Lepisosteus oculatus: one gene and its partner. The protein of the gene in region 1 purifies or fractionates together with the protein of each later gene. This does not show direct contact. Links are inferred from orthologs where the notes say so. Each region holds a gene or a part of one and is shown in the gene's direction. Other genes may lie near its edges. The genes, in order: acad9 and timmdc1.

What was found.
Region 2: the proteins of acad9 (region 1) and timmdc1 purify together in Homo sapiens (affinity purification with mass spectrometry; 3 studies listed by BioGRID and IntAct, counting the BioPlex papers as one, with this or other methods). This does not show direct contact. The link is inferred for Lepisosteus oculatus from reciprocal best matches to the Homo sapiens genes ACAD9 and TIMMDC1.

Annotation. Positions count from the first base shown.
Region 1 is NC_090699.1:62,456,673-62,464,394, reverse strand, and holds the start of acad9 (complex I assembly factor ACAD9, mitochondrial), read left to right. Parts: upstream 1-4,437; 5' UTR 4,438-4,498; coding exon 4,499-4,690; intron 4,691-5,371; coding exon 5,372-5,465; intron 5,466-5,918; coding exon 5,919-6,020; intron 6,021-7,722. UniProt on the Homo sapiens protein: As part of the MCIA complex, primarily participates in the assembly of the mitochondrial complex I and therefore plays a role in oxidative phosphorylation.
Region 2 is NC_090710.1:18,098,719-18,106,816, forward strand, and holds the start of timmdc1 (complex I assembly factor TIMMDC1, mitochondrial), read left to right. Parts: upstream 1-4,836; 5' UTR 4,837-4,851; coding exon 4,852-4,872; intron 4,873-6,053; exon of another isoform or gene 6,054-6,068; coding exon of another isoform or gene 6,069-6,089; intron 6,090-7,740; coding exon 7,741-8,003; intron 8,004-8,098.

The DNA of each region.
Region 1 (7,722 bases):
TCGATGTAAAACTATAACTGTGATCATGTGGAGAACGCAAAATAAACAGTATAAGACTCCTGCATTTGTCATTTTTACAGGGTGAAAAAACCAACATGAAACTATTTCAGCATCCCATTTTCACAACATTTACTGTACATCTGTCACCCATAAGCAGCATTTACCTGTTGATCACACTGACATACTACGTGTTCTCCATATTCTGCATCAGGTGATCATTTTTTACTTTGTGAGAAGGATACATAGGTCATATTACAAGAAATAAAAAATGTAAAAGTCAAATATAGGCAAGAAAATATCTACAATATGTAAAAGCCCTGGATTGTGAAAGATTCTTCAGACCTCCTATTCAGACCTCCTATACGAAGTGGTTTTATAAATCTATACACTATAAAGCATTTTTCTATTTCCACCTTTACATTTTTTAAACGGTCATTTTGTAATGTCTAAATTTTGGTGTCTTTAAAATATGAAAATGGGGTTTAAGTTTATTGTTGAACACCTAAATTCGCATCCAGATTGTAAAGTAATTAAGAGACCAAGCAGATGTTGAGATGTGGTGGCAGTTGCATTGTTGTTTACAATCATCCTTGAATTTTGGGGGGTGTTCAAGCATTCCCCCAAATTAGGGGGTACATTAGGGGCATTTCCCCAAATTAGGCAGCACTACATATCCATAAGAATGGAAATTTAAAAAAGCTCAGGTGAAACTCAAAATAATGCAGAGTTTTAATGCTTAACAGTCTATACCTAATAAAAGCATTAAATTTCTTCTAAGGGAATAATTTATCAACTTAATTACTACAAAAAAAGCATACCATTATATTAATTTATTTGTTGGTATAATGGTGCCAGGAAAAAAGTTCTTTAAAAATACTTGCAAATCATAATTGTGGTTAGGAATGAGATTATTTCTTTTTCCCAATTGCTAACACACATACACACAGAAATCACACCATATTCCTGTGCTATAGTATAAAGGCTTTTCTTTGGTCAATTTAAAAAGCCATTTTATGGGCTTTTTTAAGTTTTTGAAAGACTTTCTCTCTCTCCTCTTCAAATCCTACCTCTGGGAGTTCTTACACATTGGGAAGCTTAATAAAGGTAAGCTGCACCCCAGGGTTGTGTGAATGACATGCACTAGTCTTTGAAAAGTGCTGTGGCTGTGGTGTGTATCTTAGCTCTCGGTGAGGTGAACAAGATTAAAATTGTAGGTAACCTGCTGGGGCAATGGTTGAGGTTTCTGTAAAGCCATTTTTACAATCCCCACACTATTAAATGAAGATAAAATGATCAGATCTTTATCTGTTGCATTACAGAACGTTCCTATAACCTGTATCACATTAGTACAGCCCCCATAGAAACACAGCCACAGTAGAAAGCTTGTATACCATGCATACTATAATGCATTCCTGCATTTGTAAGCTTTATAAATCTCTGGCATTGTCAGATAATCATGTCCTGTACTAAATTTAAAATTTGTACTGTGTTAAAATTTGATACCTACAGTTGAACATAAGGTGAGTACAAATTCACTTCATATATATCTGGTTTTGCAAAAATGTAATTTTTAATTCTACATAAAATGACATTCTGAGCACTTTGATGTACTAAATAGGTAATATTCAACAGATTTATTGTGCAAAAGTGAAGAGTATGTTGCATGTGTTTTAGAAATTACAATGATGATTTTTTTCAGTTGTAAAAAGAGGTATTGCACCTGGACTACAAAGCTCTATCCTTTTGTTATTAAAGTTATAACCTCATATAAAAATATTACACTGTACATACAGCATTTTTTAGAATGTGCAAAAACTATCCGGGACATCAGCTTAGCAGTATTTATTTGTTGAAAGACAGCTCGTGAACTTTAATGCCCCTCTGTTCCCGATAACAAAACAACACTGCTTGGTTTTGAATTCATTCCAGAATCCTAAAGCTATCAAAGTGACTGACAAGTCCAGCTTATGATGCTTTTAAAATTCATTCATGTCTTGTGAAGAAATGCAAATTTCTCAAATACTCTGAAAGTGTCAGCTATACTGACAAGGTCAGTCCACCAGATACTCAGTAAATTGCTGTACTTGTCACTTTGGTGCAACACTAAGAGTTTTACTCTGGGATTGGATATCTTAAGAACCTTGGTCTTGATCACATACAGTAATAAGGATATTTAATAGTAACGACAATCATTAAGTGGTGATTCAGAGTACAGAAAATCCAATTTAATAAACAAAAGGAAAACCTTTATAAACTAGAAAAATTATAATGTAACTATCATTTTTTAAAACATTTAAGTATTTTTTGCTAACAATAAACCAACATGTTCAATGTCCAGTACTAGAAGCCATCCAAAGACTTCACCTGCATGACTTCCACACAAAAAGCATAATACTCTGAAGAACTCAATTCAAATTTGCAGGCGTTTTAAGACTGAATGGATATAAACCATGCTTTGTAAAACACATAAATACACCCTGTTTCCCATGCATGGAATTGTATATTAAGCTTAATATGAAACTGAAGTATTCTGATTATAAAAAACAATAAATCCGTGGAAATGTGTATTTTTGGAACTGTGAAAATTTTACACTGCAGTAAAAGAAAACTGGAATGTTTTATGACCTTCACAAATATTCCATGAGCTATCTGAGACACAAGGTGTTTTTTTATTGAAAAAGCATAAAGAATTGTTTAGAAAAGGACACAGATTATGATTAGACCTGTGTGACATCCTCGAATAAATATAACCAGGCAATACAACATGCAGTACTACGAATTTGATTTTAGCAAAATAGTTCATGTAATATTGGTCATCAGTTTCTAAGCTTATTGCCTAGTATTACATACACTGTCCGTACAATTAGGAAGCAAACACACATGAGCTAATAGTATCTTCCTGAGCGATAGCGATTGGCCTGGACTGATTGACCACAGAACTGACGAGTAACCAGGGAGGAGACTGTAGATTACAAAGCCAACACTGGAATAAAATTATGTCTTAGGCTACTCCTTTCAGAACTTTGGAGATATGTATTAATTGCATGGTGCAATAAGAAGGAGAGAAACTTTGGAAGTGGATTTCAGGTGAGTGTTTCTTCTAAGAAATTTGGATCTTTAGAAGGAAATATATATTGAATATATAGTATATATGTAGGGCTCACACCCGAAGAAGGCTCCACAGCCGAAAAACATTGTGTTTACTTTCTTCTCTTTTCAGCATGGAATAAACCTATTACTTGTTCCTATATTGAATATATATACTGTATACATGTTTTTTTTTCTTTTCAAGGTCTGTTATGCACAGCTCCCTCAAAAATTCTTTATTTGAAAATGGCAATTGACTTTCTCTTGTATGCACTACCCTCTAGAAAATATCAGAAATTAATAACAGAGAACCACCATGTTAATGTTTTTGAATATTTTCCATTTCTCAGTTGCTACCCCAAGAATGATTACAGGGAAAGTCAACTTTAAAAACCTGAGAACACTGGCCTAAACATAAATTTCATATAATAAGCTTCTCCTCTGCCAATTGGATTATAGTGTAAAACGATATAATAAATCCACTTGTGATCTAAAAATCACAGTTAACAGGATTCCAAACAGGTGAATGAGGTTAGGTACAATGATATAAAATGATATAAACACCAGTGTGCAGCATGGAAAAGATGGCTGTTTTTCTTTTCCCACGGGATAATACAGCAAATGCTCAGGTCTGTACATCATCTGTACCTCCCCCCCTCTCTCACCATCTTTAATCTCACGAGGAATAAATTATTTCTACTTCGTCAGAGCATTTATGAAACAGAATTAATAATTTATCTTCATTGATATTTTTGAGAATCTTTTAGTAGGCTCTGGGCTAGACTAAAAATTAAACGTGAGCGTGCAAGATGTGTTATTGTAGCTTTTAGGAAGTCAAATGTATTGAACATATTCAGTGTCAGTACTTCGTGCAGTTTAGAGTGTGGAGATGTTGAGTCAGTCTTTATTAACTGAGCCTCAAAGACCAAGCAGAGGTTAATTCCACATGGAAAAGAAAATGAAAGATAAACGTGTTTCTACTGGGAATCTTTTCATAAACATGAAGACAGCTACACAGCCAAAATGTAATGTATCAAATATTACCCTTGGTTACAACAGAAGCAATCAACAGCGTCAAAAGAAAATTATTGGTATAAATTATCCCAGCTACCAGTTTCAGTGTTATGTTGTGTATCCTTAAAGGACAAACAAATCCATTCTTTGTAATTGTCTCACTGGTCTTCTAGATTAGTCAGCTGCAACTGAAGTGAGCTCCACATTGTATTGAAATTTTCAGTCCGTCTTTTTGAATTGCTTTAGATCGCAGTTGGTTAAAGCGCTCCATCTTGTGGTTGTGAATAGTATTGCATGGTATTTTTGTTCCACGTCTGCTTATGTCATCACACTGCGACAGAAAGGGGTGAAAGGTCTTTGGAGGGCTGAAGGAGAAAAGTGCTTTGAGTTGGCTGATATGACAATGAGCTTGAACGGGCTTTTTAGGTTTTCTAAATCAGTGAAATTATGGAGGAATCTGTTGACCCTCCGAGTTGGACTAATAGGAAATGAAGGTTACAGAGCTTGTTTGCAAACTCAACGGTATTTCAAGACTCATGGGAGGAGTCTGGCGTATGCTAAGGACCTGTTTCTTGGTCAAATCAACAAGGTAAGTAGTAATACAGATTCACTTACATACCTAGTCGGTGTTTGTAAGCCACGATTAAAAAAGTTCAGTGTTCTGATAAGCTGTATTCTGTTTTCATCAGAATATCTTTCGAATTGTACTTGTGTCTACTATACAAATTCTACCACATATATATTCTGCTTAGAAAATATTGGAATTAGAATAGATTGTGTTTTAGTAATGTATGACACCACCTTATTTTGGAGCAATAACGGATGTTAAATTAGATTGCAAGTTTTTTATATATATATTTAAATATGTCATGTATAGTTCAGGTGGGTAGTTGCGTCAGCATGCGTAGGCTGCAAAGGAACAATTAATAGGTTTATTCCATGCTGAAAAGAGAAGAGAGAAAACACAACGTTTCGGCCGTGCAGCTTTCTTTTACCATTTCTTTCTCTTCACAATATAATACAGCAAAGTAATATAGCAGGACGTTTTTCGCGATTGTTACATTAGCACAATAACGTATCTGATCATCATTTGTTTAGTGTAATATATCTAAGAGAATAATCAGTCTGGCGTACAGTACAAGTAGTGTATCTGACTTTACTGTCTTTAACAGTGTTATGATGTAGAATGGATTCTTGACAGTATACATTTCCATATATGTGGAATCCATTTGAGTGTCTGGTGTAATTAATGCATTGTCTTCTTTTGTAGAAAGAAGTTTTTCCCTATCCAGAAATCAGCAGGGAAGAACTAGAAGAAATTAATCAGCTTGTTGCACCAGTGGAACGTTTTTTCAACGAAGATGGTAGGCGGTGAGGACAAGTTTGGAAACAGAACAATTGCAAAATGGCTACATGAGTTCGATACCCCAAAGTTGAAACCTGGCGAGACCCTGGGAATAAAATAGCTTTCTTTAAGTATAGTGAGAATTCAAGGTAGTGTGCATGGTCTTGGCTCTATTAAGGCAAAAGCAAATATGATTTTTGAAACACCTCAGTTACAGTCAAATCTAAAGGCAGTTAGATCATAATTAACTCAATTAACTCTCATCCTGAGCCTTTAATTTACTTTAGATAAATCTCAACGTATGACTAATGTGAAACTACACTATAATTCTATTTGTAAAACGCAATGTATTTGAAGTTTAGTTCATGTCCTGTATTCTTGGTATACCAGACCATATTGGGCCATAAACAAATGCTATTTTTTAATTATCTGCATAATTATTTCTCTGAAACTTTCATGTTCCCTTTTCCAGTGGATTCCAAAAGGATTGACCATGAAGCTACAATCCCTCCAGAAACAATGACTGGATTAAAAGAACTAGGTCTCTTTGGAATCCAGATTCCTGAGGAATATGGTGAGGAGGTTAAGACAGATATAAGGAAATAACTGCCTGCTCATGCAATATTTTAAGCGTGTCGAGTTACAGATGTGCGCATCAAATAATTTAACAATGCAAATAATATGTAGTCACTGTGTCAGTGCCAATAGACATATTACCATACATCCATCATTGCCAACATTGTCTTCTCCCTCTCTGTGATTCTCGATCCACCACATTAGTCCCCTCTCAAGGAAGAGAGGTTTCTTCCTTCTCAGTTGTTTTTTAACGCCGTTCCATGTATATAAGATCGCGCTTTTGTATTTGCTCAGTTACCTTCTATTTCTTATTAAGAGTTCAGATGAAATTGATTTTTTTTTTTAATCGGAAGGCACTGAAATTTAAATTTAACATCACCCATTTGCAATATTCACATGAACTCAAAGATACTGGAGTATTCAACATGGCTTAACCCCTAATGCTCAGTTCTCAATCTTCACATCAAATACAACAACAACTGTGCCGCTCTTAACCAAGCATGTGGTCTTTTTTTCCTATTGCCGACTCTTCCTGCCAATCCGATTTGGCTGGAAAAACGCACCTCTTTAATCAAAACCTGCACTCCTTATACAGCAGCAGCAGCCAGTTTGGGGTTCTCTCAAATGTCACATTCTGGGACTGCCTATCTGCTGATGTTGAGACACAGGGATGAGTCAGGATTCAGCCCGTCATCTTAACTCCAGTTTCTCTTGCCTGTGGGAGGAGAGTACACTACAATAACAAGCAATGCCCGACTCCTGCAGGTCCCAACGCCTCCCATCGGCCTTGGTTGAGAAGGTCCACCCACCTCTCTCCTCCACAGTGCCTTCATCCTCATGAAGCCTGGCTGACATTCTGCCAAACAGCCACCTGTCCAGCCCCTGTGGCAGCCCTCGAGTACAGACCCAAGCTGTATCTTCTCAAACACCCCTAACCTGCTGAGTCTCCCAGGCCTTTGAGCCAGTATATCCATTACTTCTTACTAATTACTCTCATTTACCCTCTTCTGACAGCCTAGATTTTAGACACTGTCTCTGGAGCCCTTTTTCTTCTGCCTGTTCTTATAAGCCTCTTAATTAGCCCAGTGGACTAGCACGTTCTTCAACGATCCTGTCCTTCCAGTTTAATTACTCAATCAAGAACAGGACTGCCTCGTTCCATGGGTTTGTTTCCATTAACAGATGGCTTTTTCTCAAAGCCCCATCTCTCTTCACAGGCTTGCGCTTTTGATCTGAACCATTTCTATCCAAATTAAGTGTGGATTGTTGTGATCATGATATTTAACCAACTGATCTTTTGATTTCAAGCCCATCAGTGTGTTCAAATTTTGATTGGAACGGTTTGCCATAATTCATGAGAAAAGCGTCTCATCTGGGACTCAGTTTGCTCATGTTGTTGCACTTTAATCGTTGCCCCTCTGAATATGGCGTAAAAGTGTGAGTCATATGATGTCAATGCTCTGTCTCTGATACGTTTCAAAATATGTATTTCAAAGTTTCTGATGAGCATTGCTGAGGATCCTCTACCAGGCAGTGAGAATTATCCACTCAAGCACCTGAATGGCTCAGAGTTCTGCTATCCCTGGGTGAACAGATGTAAAAGTAACATAATACATCAGGCATGTCGCGTAATCACACACAATTTACCAACTTGCAGCTGTGAGAAAAACCTGAGAGGCAGATTTACGTAATTGGCTCAT
Region 2 (8,098 bases), on another chromosome or scaffold:
GTTAATTCTTTACGTGAGTACATGAAGCCCAACTGAGACCACCAAACTCTTTCTCCTGCTCATAATTGAATTCAAAGTCACTGATCTTATATGCTGGTTAGCCAGCTATACAAAAATATGTTCTGCTCCTGTCCCCGCTAGGTGGGATTGCAAATTTAGCCGTGAATGTCACTTTAATCTCAAAGTTTCTTTTATTCCATTTTTACATTTTGTTTTTGGTCTGAGCCGATTGCTCTATATGAGGGTAGGGCGTCTCCCATAAGCTCCTGTGAAGAGTTTTTGATCAAATGCAGAGCAGCTCAGCCAGAACCACATACTACGAGAACAATTTCAGGCCCTGAGAACACTGGCAAAAGTTAGTACATTCCAAATCTGAGAAGGGTATAACAGAACCACTAGTGTGGAAATTGTGATTCCTGGAGATTTGTTATGATAAACTTTACCAAGATTGTGTAAAACCATGTTGTAATCAAACAGACTACCAGAGATAAATACAGTACAACAGCCCTGACTTAACCCCTCTTGTGCTGGTATTATTAAACCAGTTCTTCTGCCAGACAGACGTTTACTCTTTTCTCTTTGCATTAAATGTTGTAAAAGAAATTAAGAACATTAACCACTAGTTGAAAGAAGATTACATTGATTATTTTTTAATATTTTTTTTTAATTATTATTTTTATTTAACTGAAGATTAAAGTGGTGTTTTAGTCTGGTGACATAGCTAAGAGACAAGATATTGTTACATACAGTAAGATACTTAGGTTGATTAATAAAATGATACATCTCAGTATTCATGTTTTATGAGTATTTTCATATTTATGTTTTAAGTACTTTAAGTGCATATATTTCCCATCTGTTTCTATGGGGTTTCCAGTTTTCTAGGGAGTAATTTTTTAAATATTTTAGTTTTTATGTGTTTTCCATCTAGCCATCTATCCCGGCAACCAACTGGCCCAAGGCAGGGTACCCCTTGGATGGGACGTTTGTCTATCATAGAGCAGACACACAGACACAAACGCACACTCATACCTAGGGCCAATTTTCCTACAAAGACAATTAACCTACCAGTTTGTTGTAGGACTGTAGGAGGAAACCAGAGTACCCAGGGGAAATCCAGGCAAACATGGGGAAAACATACAAACTCCATGCAGTTGGCAGGTCCCTTTCACTGTCCATTCTGAATAAATATGCAAGGTTATCTTTGTCAGTATATTCTGTCATTTAATGTTATGTATTCTAGCAGACTGTTTGCCATTTTAATTCCTTTCTCACATTGTGTAGAAGATGTAAATAATGTCTCAGAAGACACCTGTATGCAACTTTTTCATAGGTTACCTCTTCTTTCGCAGTGTTTCCAATTTTGTATTAAAAACTTATTTTTCTTTACTGGATGTAAAATCCCACACTTGTCTTCATTAAGCATTATTTTCCAGTTGTGTTCCCAATCTTTACATTTTATTTAAACCTTTTGGAATTTAATTTGCAGGTTTTACAGTGTTTGCCAAACCTCCTTAAGTGGTATCATCTACAAATAATTGATCATTGATATAAATTAAGAAGCGTAGTGGTCCTAGTACAGATTCCTGTGGTACTCCATTACGTCACCCCATGTTGTGTTTTCACACTAATGTATATCCTCTGTTTTTTTATTTAATAACGAATTTTCAATCCAAACACTAGTGTGTCTCCAAGTGTCATTGCATCAACTGAGCACTTGCAATTTAAGAGTTAATTTTTAATGAGGAACTTAAAAAAAAAAACTTCTGGAAATCTAAGTACACTGCATCATATACTCAGTTGGAGCTAAATTTGCAGTGCTTCAAATTTATTTATCATTCTTTACTGATTTCATATCTATCCCATTACATTTTACTTCTCATAAATTTGGTCTCATTCCTTCTAAGTCACCTTTCTAGATATTATAAATTTACAGTCTCAAAATATACCTCAAAGCACAATGATCACAGTTCCCTCATGGTTCTCTCATTTCTTTTGCACATAAATTCTTCAATTCGTTATGTGGTGTGGCCTGAGCCTAACCTGTGTATCATGCAGCAGAAATGTGTTAATGTGTCATACATGACTTTAATTGCTTTGAAAATGAATTATAGCACAGCTTTGCAAAAGCAGCAAGGTGCTGCAAGGTGCTGGTTTTGAGAAATCAGGGCCCAGATTTCTAACCAGGCTCTGGTTAATATTAGCATCCGAAATCATCCGGCACCAGCTCGCCTGCTGAGCGAGTGTCTGAAGAGATGTATGTTGCACTGTGAGGATGAGTATCCTAGACCTGGGAGATGAGGTTTAATTTGACAGGCTCATCTGAAAGGTGTTTAATCACCATTGCTGCCATAGTCCAGCATCACACGTCATCCTGATCACAGGACTGCCTACCTGTTAGCAATTTTTACAGCCCTGTTATCCTGTAGACATGAGGTGGGCGAAGCGATCTTCCAACCTTACATACTGTACTAAACTCCCTGCATCTCCTCCTTCTCATTCTGCAGGTGTCAGTCTTGGCATTATCGTATGAATAAACGCATTACAAGAGCAACGAATGCTACTGGTGCTAATGCTCATTTATTGCATTTTAATGCCTCTGGGTATAAATTTGTGTATTGCTGCACATGGTACAACATCAGTTCCTGACACTGGCACACATAGATCAGCTCAGCAATCAATATAGAATTCCATTTATCACTGTCTGGAAGGATCCCATAAAGATAATATACTGGCTAAGTTAGTTCCAGGCTCCCATGATCCTTTTGTTTAAAGAAAGGACCCCTGGGGCATATAGTAACTCTGAGCTGACCTACTGTAGCTACTGCCTTTTGGGATTTGGAATACAGCATAATCTTTTCTGTTCCAGGCAAAAAGTCTGACTCCCTTAATTTGTCTGCGCATGAGACTGCCTTCAGTAAAAAGTTAGTTTGGTTGCTCTCTTTTTTACTGCTCTAGAACAGCAATGTCTTGATGAGTGGTGACCGGAGTATACACTGTACTCCAAGTGAAGTCTAATGCATTGTATAATTTAACCTGACACCCCATCGATTCAAATAATACATTCTTCCTATATCAAAGTTTTGTTGGCCATTTTATCGTTTCTCCAAAGTGCCTAGCTGAAAAAAAAAAAAAGTTAACCTAAACGATCTTGCTCGGGATTTCTTCTTCCAGTTCGGTGCCACCTGTCAGAAACTTGAATTTTGTGTTTATAGTCATGCATGTATTAACATACTTTTATCCATTCAGCAGCACAAAATGAATGACAAACTTTTATTTCATGTCTGTTTTATCCTCATTCTCTTTTCAAGGCGTTATTTTGACTTTCCACGATTTTCATCGATTTACCTCAAACTAGGTCACTCGCTCTCGCGTCTTAAGCTCATTTTATATCCCTGTAGTTTCGTCCTCCAACAATAGGTGGCGATCTAATTATTTTCTGCTTCATATCGCGGAAACTTTCTCTTTAATTCTGACAACAAGCTTTGACATTGTGGGTTTCCCCGAGAAGCTGTTCTGGATAAGGTATAAATGTGCTTGAGAACGTTATGTCTGAATACATTCGTTAAAGTGTATCTGATTAAAGTTTAAAATCAATTTTCTTAATATCAGCGAATATGAGCCGTAGATGTGATGCGACTTAAGTGGTGTATAATATTTTTGTCGCTGTATAAATGTTATTTCAGGTACACAGATAAGTAGGTCGCTCTTTTCACACACATGCTTTAGCTTTCTAAAGTCCATTGTATTTGCTTCCGATTATTTTAAAGATAATTAAGCTCTTGCACCGGTAGCATCGCCTGTTCTTAAATTCCTTTCTGAAATGTATGCTAGTGGAACAGCTAATATCAGTATTATTAATTTTATACGTTCATAAATACTATTTCTATGGTGAAAATGAAAATTTATGCAACCTGTACATTGAGCTATAGTAGCATTTTTGTCATAATTGTAAAATGTATTACTAGTATAACCTTGAATTTTAAGTGGCCTGACCTTGACTTCCAAGTGTGTTTGCGTCTATATTATTAATTTGATTGAATACAGAAATACGTCTTACATTCTGCAGTATATTGAATTGAAATTTGATTACAGCCATTGCTTGAATTTTAGCCTATCTGTGGTGTACAGGTGATGCAAATTGAAGGTGTCTCATACAGTTGTGTTAGAAATATAAACAGACTAACGCAAAACAAACTTTTAGATGATGGGAAATTTTCTCAACTTTGAAGCACGATATTTCTCAGATAAGGTATTGCAGTGTTGTATGTTAATATTTTACAGTTTTGTTTTTTGATTGCTTTACTGCATATTGATAAGGTAACAAAATGAACTTGAATACATGTTACATTTGCTGGTGGGGAAAAATGATAGTAACAAAAATTAATGATGCACAGGTGCATTTCAGTAATATACAAGTACATTATTAACCGGTTTCTGTCTCAGCTGCTGATAAATACATTACAAATGATAAACTTTCTGGAAGAAATACATTTGTTTTACTTATTTTTAAATCCCGGAAGGGTAAGAATTAAAGTTTAAAAACATTCCAGAAGTATTTTGCTTTACAACACCAGAAGTCCAATTTCTAAAATATTTGGTGTATTTCAATATTTGTTTGTAGTCTTTCATAACAAATTAGAGTTACACACATTAGTTATATTGCGCTACAGAGTTTCATCTGTAGTGAAAACACAGATTTTAAGTTTGGGAGAGAGAAAAGGGTTCTGAGAAATAAGGCTGAGAAAGCGATGATCTTATGTTTTAGTTCAGAAGAATGTTGTTTTAGAACAGTATAAATATTAAACGAGCAATAACAATAAGCCAGTGACAGGGTTGGAATGTCCTCGGACCATGTCACAGAACAACTTCCAGGTGAGTGGGATAAGGCCTAACTCTTAGAGAGGTGAGTGTCTCCCAGGCAGGAGCTGTCCTGAAGTGGGTCAATACTGTATGTACAGTAAACCTCTTTGGGATGAAAAGCACAATGTCAGTTCCCGTTCAAGTTGTGAGGTGGCTTTGTGGCGTTTGTGACTCATGGTTTTGTTTGTGAACACCTGCCTCTCGGTGTAAAGAGATTGTGAACCAGCCAGCCCGTCCAACTAGTCCTGATATTTTTAATAAGAATCAAATGCAAATCACTGCACTCATGCGCAGGTGATTGAAATACCAGACCCACACCATTCTCAGCGGGAAAAATAAAGACGCTTAAGGGTATCCTCCTATCCGTCTGTGCTGGGTAACATTACTGCAGGAGCTTATTAAGAAACGTATTTGTCGTGAAGGGCTGTCTCATACCTTCACCTGACCTCCCAAGAGAGGAGGTCTTTCACACCTGTGGATACTGTACTGTGCACACATTTATTCATGTGTAGGTTACTCACCTGTGCATCTTGTCCATGCCATCCTGGAACTCACTGGGAGACGGGGACAGTATTGTTAGCATGACGCTGGAGCGGGGAGCTGAGTCAGCTGGCTTGGGCTGCAAAGGAACCAGGAAAGGTCAATTTAATACTGTGAAGTTGAAAGTAGAAACCGGTTGTCTGTCCAGCCTTCTTTTTTCTACTTTGCACAGTGGATGTAACCTTTACTTGTTCCTAAGCATTATTACCTTATTCATAATTCTTATATTGACATTATTGTTATTTTGAATTGTTTCTTGTTGTCTTTTCATATACATGCTTCCTAAGTTTATGTATTAACTGTTGTTGTGGATCCACAATCAGTCCGTATTGTTGTGTTTGTTGTTGTCCTGTCCATTGCACTGTTCCATGTTGGGTTACGGACCCCCAACCCACCTCTGGTTTTAAATAGGTTTTCAGCTATCCATCAGGGGGAGGTACTTAACCGGGCACGCACAGATTCACAGTCAGTGATAGTTTAGTTCTAGTCAAAAGTGTGACTTCAACCTTAAGCAAGCACACCTTGTCTTTGTGCTGTTCCCCAGCTCAGTTTTTCATAAAGCCTGTTAGCAGTGCTAATAGTTTGGCTATTACCTACGTTTCTCCTGTTTTTCTCACTTTTGTAAATATTTTTCTGCAGTGGAACACATTTGTGCACTATGACTGTGGATGCCCCTGTCCTGCAAGGGGGTAGGTTAGTCACATTTACAGGTATTATTCATTCACCTTAATGGGTCCCATATAAAGCGGTTCTTAAGAGATCTTTTATTTGTCCTATTACACGAGCTTCTTAATAAATCCTTAGACGTTTCATATGTACATTTGTATACACATACCTTAATCCTTAATACACAAACATCAACTAGGCATCCTTAATCCACAAATGCTGCAGTGAGTGATGATGCCCTCCTTCAGGAGTTTATGTTCAGGATTTTAAAGAGCCATGTGGTACTTCAATAAAACTGACTGGAAGATAATCCTCCTAAGTGCTTCCCTTCAGATGCACCCCTCAAACAATCCAGCGTTCTACTTAATGGGTCCCATATAATTATTTACATAATTAGATCATTTAAACCTCATCAGAAATGTTAACAGAACTTCTAATTAGGTTTGGCCAAATCAGCATGGGGTGCATTTTTATTCCAGCCATCAGCATAGCTAGGCCACCCAACAAGGAGACCATTGACAGAAAGGCTTGTTAACATCTGTGACACATTAGGATGGACTGTATCCTATGGTTAGAGAGTGTGAGGAGCACAGACGTGCTGTAGGTTAAATAAATCTTTTGCTTACACTGACAAAAACTCAAACAGCAGCTTTAATGAAATATATAAGATGTACAAGCAAAAGCTACGTTTAGCCTTGTTGTGAAACAGGAATGATTCCATGTTGGTAAGATGGAACAAAAAAAAGTTTTTTCTTGGTTCTCCAGCTCAAATGGGAGTGATATTATAAAAGGCTATTTACTTCGAGTCTTATTCCATCAGCCGTCTGGTTGTGCTCAGTTTGTGCTTTTTTTCCCTAAACCCACCACCATCCCCCCCAACTTTGGACTTTTTTTCTCACTGTCTTTTTTTTTCTGATTAGACAAAAACAAATTCTTACATTCACTAAAACGAATTAAAACACGAGAGAAAAGATTAATTCAATAACTTCCTACTGATATTCTTAACATCCATGCCATTCAAGTTTGTCTCTAATGGGCCTCAAACATTCCTATACTCAATAAGTTTCCCCTGTACTGTAAATTATATGAAATCTTTTCAAATTTAACTTGTGATACAGCCACTTTAATCCATTCTTTGTATGACGGTCCTTTACTGTCCACCCATTTTCGCAGTATTATTTTTTAGCAGTAATACAGAGTCAAGAAAGTATTTTTATACTGAATTGCTGCTTTAACCTTTGATAAATCACCAAGGATACATGTAATGGGAGTAAGTGGAATTGAGATATTTAGGTACCTGAGAGCTTTCCCCACTGTGGAGGTTCGAGCTTGAACATTAATTACATTTTCAAGCTGCATGACATCCCTGAAATTTTCAGCCTTAAAAAAAACATCAGAAATGTAGGCTGACAACAGTTTGACATAGGCCCAGGGGCTCTGCTTGCCTTGAACACAGAACTTGGTGAAAGCCTGGGCGGCCCAGTGGAACATTTTTGAGCAGCAGTATTTATAATCTGCATGAGATGTCAAGTATTCATTTTAGAGTTAACGTGCAGCTTGCTATGCTGGTTGAGAGATGGCAGTGGAAGTGTTGTGGGAGTTATCTGCAGCTGTATGTTTCCAAAAGGCATAAAAAAAGAAGCTCTTTCATTGTGGCTCCTAACTGTGTTACAGGCAGACTGGGGCTGCTGCGGTGCGATGGATCGCCAAGGGCTCCCAGCGAGCATGTCCGCATGTCCTCGACTTGACAAGCCTCCGCGGGGCTCCTCCTACTCCACACTCTTCTGGGGTCTCGTCCCCTTCCCAAGAGTCTTGGCAGCTGATGGCGTAGGTTCAGGCGCTCCTGCAGAAAATGCCGTGCAGCTACCACGATACATCAGCAAACCAGAGCTACCGGACACTGGCTGGGACCGAATAAAAGAACTCTTTGACAGGAGGTGAGTATAGTGTAATAATAATAATAAACTTTATTTTATATAGCGCCTTTAAAGGTGGCTTCTCAAAGCGCTTTACAGGATGACAATAACAATAA